Macaca mulatta: one gene and its partner. The protein of the gene in region 2 binds, or shares a complex with, the protein of the main gene of each other region. Links are inferred from orthologs where the notes say so. Each region holds a gene or a part of one and is shown on either strand. Other genes may lie near its edges.

What was found.
Region 1: EXOSC2 (region 2) and EXOSC1 share a complex: the UniProt entries of both Homo sapiens proteins name them as parts of the RNA exosome core complex. The link is inferred for Macaca mulatta from reciprocal best matches to the Homo sapiens genes EXOSC2 and EXOSC1.

The regions. Positions count from the first base shown.
Region 1 is NC_133414.1:109,495,329-109,499,417, reverse strand, and holds the start of EXOSC1 (exosome complex component CSL4), read left to right. Parts: upstream 1-1,207; 5' UTR 1,208-1,231; coding exon 1,232-1,262; intron 1,263-1,369; coding exon 1,370-1,485; intron 1,486-3,901; coding exon 3,902-3,976; intron 3,977-4,089. UniProt on the Homo sapiens protein: Non-catalytic component of the RNA exosome complex which has 3'->5' exoribonuclease activity and participates in a multitude of cellular RNA processing and degradation events.
Region 2 is NC_133420.1:16,884,250-16,887,893, forward strand, and holds part of EXOSC2 (exosome complex component RRP4), read right to left. Parts: intron 2,150-3,644; coding exon 2,104-2,149; intron 1,568-2,103; coding exon 1,478-1,567; intron 436-1,477; coding exon 370-435; intron 1-369. UniProt on the Homo sapiens protein: Non-catalytic component of the RNA exosome complex which has 3'->5' exoribonuclease activity and participates in a multitude of cellular RNA processing and degradation events.

The DNA of each region.
Region 1 (4,089 bases), on a different chromosome or scaffold from region 2:
TGCAGACCTCCCTTCTGGGGTAACACGCTGAGAAGAAAAAGTAGCAACTTTATTTTGGGGCTGCTTATCTTTTGATGACGGGCCCACACAACCAGAGTTCGGCTTTTTCAACCTGAGAAAGCTTACTTAAGTGGGGATGGGAGGCCGCGAAGAGGATCGGACCGCAGGACTGGAAGCTACAGTTAAAAAACCGGGAAAAGGCCGGGCGCGGTGGCTCACTTTGGGAGGAATCACCTGTAATTCCTGCACTTTGGGAGGCTGAGGCGGGCGGCTCAAGAGATCGAGACCATCCTGGCCAACATAGTGAAACCCCGTCTCTACTGAAAATACAAAAATTAGCTGGGCGTGATGGCGCGCGCCTGTAGTCCCAGCTGCGCGGGAGGCTGAGGCAGGAGAATCGCTTGATGCCAGGAGGCGGAGGTTGCAGTGCGCAGAGATCGCGCCACTGCACTCCAGCCTGGCCAAAGAGCGAGACTCCTTTTCAAAAACAAAACAAAACAAAAACCGGGAAAAGGTTTTATTTCTCAATGACAGCCGCGAGGTGAAACTGCGATGGACTGGAAGTCAAAAATCGCGGGTTCCAGTTTGGGCTCTATCTTGAAGATTTTGGACAAGTCAAACCCGGTCTCTGAATCTGAGGTTCCACATCTGTGAAACAGACGAGTTGGGTCGCTTGACCTCCTTCCTTCCTGCTCTGAACGTAACGGTTGCTCGCAAGGTGCGCTCCGGCTGAGGAGGGCGCAGCCCCGCAGGGCAGGGCGAGGAGAGAGCAGGAACCTGGACTCAAGACAAGGCCCCAGGGCATTGCCCGACCCAGAAAAAGGGACTAGGATGGGGAGCAAGGGCCGAGGCTTCGCCCTTACCTGCCGCCTGCCGACTCCCCAGTCAGCCAAACCGAGCCCCGCAGCCTCTGCCGCCGCTCACTGCCACCCTCTCCGACTCGGCGCCCCGGCCGGGCCCGGCTCAATCCAAACCACCATGGCCCGCCGCCTGCAGTGCCACCCAGCGGACCCGGACCTGCCGCCAGCCCATCCTCAACCACACGCGCAGGCGCAAGCATGGAGCGCTGAAGTTCCGCCCCCGGATTTGTCCCGGGGTAACCTGGGAAATGGAGTTTACACGCAAGGATAAAGAACACCAATTGACGCGTATCTTACTGCGGAACTGTGCCTGGGTTTGGCCAATGAGAAATCGATTTCGTTTTCATCCGGCTTTTGGGACAGCGGCAATCATGGCACCACCTGTGAGATACTGTATTCCCGGTAAGTGAGCGCTTCCCGTACAGAGTCCTGGATAGGGGCCGAAGCAAGAAGCCTGGACGGCCTGCAGTTTCTGGGGGCCCATGACCGATGCAGCATTTTTTCTGCAGGCGAACGTCTGTGTAACTTGGAGGAGGGCAGCCCGGGCAGCGGCACCTACACCCGCCACGGCTACATCTTTTCGTCGCTTGCCGGCTGCCTGATGAAGAGCAGCGAGAACGGCGCGGTAAAGGAAGCGGCATGCCGTCTCCTCTCTCTCTGTTTTTCCCTTAGGCTGCCCTTGAGTTCCAGTCCTTAGGCATGGGCACTGCGGACGCGTGTTTAGAGCCTTAGTGGTACAATGTTGGTCTCTTAGTTTCTTCTAGCCGTATCGCCGCTGTTGTGCACTTAGCCACCACACACTAGTTGTGTTGATCTCGCTTGGTTGTGCTGCTGACCCTCGGGGAGGGAGGTTGGGACAAAAGCAGATGCGAACTCAGTAACCTAGCCCAGCTCAGCCCAGCAGTGCGTTGTATACTGTATGAATGTTGCTTACCTCTCCGGCTTACCTCTAGTGCCACTATCTCCACCTCACTGACGCGATCTAATCATACAGTCTTTTCTATTTGTAAAAGTTATAATCACAGTTTTGGCTTGCCCTTTTAAAAAAATTTGTAACACACTAGCTTCTTTCAGTGTCGGTAATGTGCCAAGCTTTCTCCTGCTACAGAGCCTTTGTAACATGCCATCTATCTGGAACGCTTCTGTCTTCTTAGGCCTGTTTAATTCCTACCTCCGTTAGTTTCTGTATTATCACCTCAGAGAAGCCCTTCTGGACCCACTAATTGAGGAAAGGAGTTTTGTGGGATGTTTTGTTTTTGTTTGTTTTGTTAAAGACTTACAAAAAAACTCTGTCCCTTTTCTTCCAAGCACTTATGTCAGCATATGATTAGACACTCAGGTATGTTTCCCACTAGACTTCTCCCTTGCTTAAATCTAAGTTCCACGAAGTGCAGGTGCTACCACCATACCATCAGTATCTAGCACAAAGCAGCTCCTCAATAAATGTTTGTTGAATGCGTAATACCTACTTTTCTAGTTTTAGAGATTGATCCAGGATTAGCTCAGGATCATATAAGCAATATTTGAAGGAGCACAGTAGAAAGAGGATTCAGAATTAGAACCGTTAGGTTCTGGCTAACTTGACCTCGATTCTGCTTTGAGTAAGTAACTTAAGCCGTCTGACTCAAGGGGCTTTCTATTCAGTCATTGTTGGGAATGTCCTTAACAGTCCTGAGTTTGTTCATTTGATAGATACCACTTGAGTATTTTCATGTGTCAGGCACAGCGCTGACTTGGTTTCTGCTATCAAAGGACACAGACACAAATTGTAAACAAATAAATGCTCAAATAAGCATATGGTTACACATGTGGTGGCTGCTTTGAAAGAATATTACAGGGCACCTTAAGAACATGTAACAGGCAAATCCATCCTAGTCAGCAGAAGTGACATTGAAGCTGAATCATCTAAAGAGTAGGTTAGAGTCAGGTGGGTGGAGAGAGTGCAATTCTGGCAAAAAGAATAGGTTGAAGAGAGATCTGAAAGTGGGAAGAATTTAGTAAGTTGGGGAAACTGAAAGAAGGCCAGGAGAGCTGAAGCATTGTAAGCAACGGAGAGATTGTTAAAAGATGAGGCTCAAAATATCTGTCTCATACCAACAGCCAATACCATGCTCAAAGAGAAAACTCTGCAAGTATTCACTTAAAACAAGCGTAGCTACTATTTGTAACATTTCTGTGGAAATTTCAGCCTGTGCAGTAAAATAAGAAACAGAAAGAAGCAGTATAACTTTGGAGGAAAGAGTAAAATTGTCAGCCAGATGTAGTGGCTCACGCCTGTAATCCCAGCACTTTGGGAAGCCAAGGTGGGTTGATCACCTGAGGTCAGGTGTTCGAGACCAGTCTGACCAACATGGTGAAACCCCATCTCTACTAAAAATACAAAAAATTACCCGAGCATGGTGGCAGGCGTCTGTAATCCCAACTACTCGGGAGGCTGAGGCAGGAGAATCACTTGAACCCAGGAGGTGGAGGTTGCAGTGAACCGAGATGGCGCCATTGCACTCCACTCTGGGCAACAAGAGTGAAACTCCATCTCAAAAAAAAACCAAAAAAAGTAAAATTGTCAATGATTATAGGCAATATAGTTGTATACCAAGAAATTCTGAGAGAATCACCAGAAAACTTATTGGAAGTTTAGGGATTTACTACAAAAAAAATTAGCCGGGCGTGGTGGCAGGTGCCTGTAGTCTCAGCTACTTGGGAGGCTGAGGCTGGAGAATGGCATGAACCCGGGAGGTGGAGCTTGCAGTGAGCCGAGAATATGCCACTGCACTCCAGCCTGGGCAACAGAGCAAGACTCCATCTCCAACGACAACAAAAAAAAAGAAGTTTAGAGGTTTACATCTTCTAGCAGCATTCTGTAGCCCCCTGGTCCTCCTATTTCCTAAAATTTCTAAGGCCTTCTGCTCTGGCCTATAAATGAATGCATACTCCAGCTCTCACCTGTGTACCAAGACATTCCTATATTACTCTCAAGACACAAATGCTTTGACCCAAGAGTTAGCCAGGACATTTCAGTTTTTTTCTTTTTCCCTCTGTAGCTTCCTGTGGTGTCTGTAGTAAGAGAAACAGAGTCCCAGTTACTGCCAGATGTCGGAGCTATTGTAACCTGTAAGGTAAGTTTGTCCTAACTTCCATGCTTAGAACGCCCATTCAGTGCTGAAATCATGACCATGCCAGAACTGCAGTGTCCAGTATGATAGCCACAAGCTACATAAATGTATTTCTG
Region 2 (3,644 bases):
TTAGGCTCAAGCAATCCTCCCTCCTTGGCCTTCCAAAGCGCTGGGATTACAGGCATGAGCCACCACACTCGGCCTGTCATTAATATCTTGATGTGAACAACACCTCTTCCACTCCCTGGGCTAAAAGTTAACATCATTAACAAAAGCCTCAAGCACAGGCTACCATAAGTTACAAGACCCAAAGAAATGACTTAGCAGCAGGTCTGAACAAGAGCTGGGGAGTCAGCCTGAGTTAAGGAGACCGAGAAAGGACACAGCAGAGCCCGACACCTGGTCTAACGGTTCTTCCGTCAGAGACATACAATGGAAGGCCCATTTCCCAGCCCCACAGAAAAGCATGAAGAGGCTGCAGTGCAAAGCACAGGATACACTGATAAGGTCCCCTTCCTGTAAGAAACCTCTCATTGCAAGCTCATCTTCTGCAGATCTTCTCCTCTGAAATACACAAAGAAATGACATTACTGAAGCCAGGTCCTCAGAAAGGTCTCCATCACTTCTTTCTCTTTCACTTCCTTTTGAGATTTTTGAGGCCAACCACAATACTCAAACACTGAGAACTATGGCAAAAGTAGGTAACCCGAGCCACTTGAGGGGAATGAGTGATAATCACGACTTTCCATCGCAAGAGACTTTTCCATAGTCCTCTTCTCTTCCTCTTTCCCTCCCTTCCCTGAGGAGCATTCCAACCCCTCCCAATCTCACCCAGCCAACATTTCCACACTCATCTTCCATGACAGCTCTCTGTGGTCCAGCAGGACCAGACTAACTCCTGCTTGGATATATCTCTGCTCACACATTTCCCTTTATCTCAGATTCCCTGAACTAGTTATTTAAAGTCTCTCCATCCTGTCTTTCCTACGAGCTTCTCTCACTGGAATGAACCACTCCTTTTGTATAACCACAGCTTATTTATTCTTCTACTGCCAGATACTGGGTCAGTTATCTTATATCCCCTGCTGGGGAACTCAGTCGTGCTTGGCACTTGGCACAGAGCTTGGCACAGTAAGCCTCTCTGTAAATACATGCTGGACTGAAGATAAAGGTGAACCATGGTATTTTACAAAAGGCTGTGGCTTAGTTACTGTGGTTGTCTGGAATAACCAAATGCCTTTCAATTCACAAAAAACTAACGTAAAGACAGCTTTCCAAGGAACATCTTCACTGTGCAAAGCTGATACGTCCAGAAAAGGAAAGCTATTAACAAGCAGCATCTAAGAGCTTCTCTCCCCAACTCTCTGTTGGGATCCCACCCCATGGATGTTTCTGATCCTACCGTATGCCAACTGCTCCCTCTTTCGGGAGACCTGGACAGGGTGAAAAGTCTACATACACATCCAGACAGCAAACTTCACAGCAGACAAACGGGAGTCAAAGGGGTAACCTCAGTGTAAAGCAAAGTCCTCTGGTGGAACAAAGGGTCCCACAGCTCCCCCCAGCCCACTGGGCTCCAGTCCATGGCCCCAGCTGTAGCCCTTACCAGCTCTCCTCCAGGAAGGTTCATGGACGAGAGCAGCAAGACCGAATCCAGCCTGGAGTTGGTCTCCACCTTCCACCTCTTCTGTTGAACCTATAAGCCAAGTTCCACACCTGGACACATGCTCCAGGGACAGGAGTTCACATCATAAGTAACCAGTAAGGCTGGGTGCGGTGGTTCACGCCTGTAATCCCAGTACTTTGGGAGGCCGAGGTGGTGGCTCACTTAAGGTCAGGAGTTTGAGACCAGCCTGACCAATATGATGAAACCCCGTCTCTACTAAAAATACAAAAATTAGCCGGGCGTGGTAGCAGGTGCCTATAATCCCAGCTACTTAGGAGGCTGAGACAGGAGAATCGTTTGAACCCTGGAGGCGGAGGTTGTAACGAGCCAAGATCGCGCCACTGCACTCCAGCCTGGGCAACAGAGCGAGACTCCATCTCAAAAAAAGAAAAAGAAAGTAACCAGTAATCCCAAATCGAACAAGCCACATATTTACATCAGAGGCCACACAATAGCCAAATGCAACGAATGCCTTTTTCATGTAACTACAAGTGGAATGACTGTCCCATGAATACAATCGCCAGCCTGCCTCGACTTTGTAAACACCAATCTGATATCGACGTTACCTCTGTGATTCTTCCCACTACAATGTCTCCTACTTCACCAATGTATCTGAAAGATAAAACACAAGGGATTCGTGCATCTGTGAGCAGACTTTCTGACAAGACCACACACCATTTGAGATGTTGGTTTAACAGAGTGAAAGCCTTGAATAGGCGTCACATTCAGCAAATTCATGTAACTATATTGTCTGGACTTATTTTCAGAAATTGCTAACTTCAAACATTCCTCCATGTATAAAGTCTCCATTAACCTCAAACAAATCGCTATTCAAGTAGTTCATTTAGCCAAAAAAAACCCCCTATTTTGTTCAATTACATGACACTGAAAAACATGGACTATTTTCCTGTGGCACACGGATGAGTTCTGCACCAGCCAAAGGAAGAGAAAGGAAATCTGAGCCAGACGCCAACCGCATGAGTCTGCTCATGTCTCTCCCACTCACTCACTGCCTGCTCCTCTCAAGCCCCTTTGCTAGCTCCTCATCCACAATTCTAATGAGACGTACTCGGTGCTGAGGCCAAGTCCTTAGACCTCTTCGCTTTTCGGCCACTCAATCTAATACCATTAAAATACCACTCTGTGCTGTCACTGTGCCACTCTCCTGAATTCCAAATCCTTCTCAACTGCCAGCTACCCAACTCTGCCATTTAGATGACTAATAGGCATTTTCAAATGTATCGCGCCCAAAACTAAGCTTTCCCACAGCCCCCTCCAGTCCTCCGTAGCAAACCGAGGTAGGGGATGAGTTATCCCCATCTCAGTCAATGGTGACTCCATCCCCAGTTGCTCAGGCCAATAAACCTTGGAGAGTTCTTTGATTCCTCTCTCTCTCTCACACACTTCAGGACAAGTCCAGTAGCAAATCCTGCTGGCTCTACCCTTAAAACATATGCAGGAAATAAAAGGCATCCAAATTGGAAAGGAAGAAGTAAAATTATTTCTATTCACAGTTGACTGGGTCCTATGTACAGTAAAGTCCAAAGAATACAAAACCCAACACCTTTTCATGATTTCAAAAAAAACACTCAGAAAATAAAATCTATGTGGATCCCAATCACTCCTCCACCTTCCACTGCTACCACCTTAGTCGAAGCCACCATCACTTCAGATTATGAGTATGGTCCCTAATCCACCTCCCTAAGCTTGCTCTATCCCCCTTCAATCTCCCATCGGCAGCCACAGTGAGCTTAAGTCCAGATCAAGTCCCTCCTCTGCTCCACCCCTTCCAGGGGCTTCCCAGATTACACAAAGTAGAAGCCGAAATGCTTACTCTGGCTACAAGGCAGGCCTATGTCTGCCCACCTCAGCTTTCTGCTCATATCTGCCCCTACTCTCTCCCTCACTCACTCTGTTCTAACCTCACTGGCTTGCTTTCTGGGGCTAATCTTCATTGAATGCTTCTAGGTATCAGGCCCTGTGCTAAATACTTTACATGCACCATCTCACTGAATTCTAAAGAAAATCCTAGGCCAGCCGCAGTGGCTCACATCTGTAATCCCAGCACTTTGGGAGGCCAAGTGGGGGGGAAATCTTCTGAAGTCAG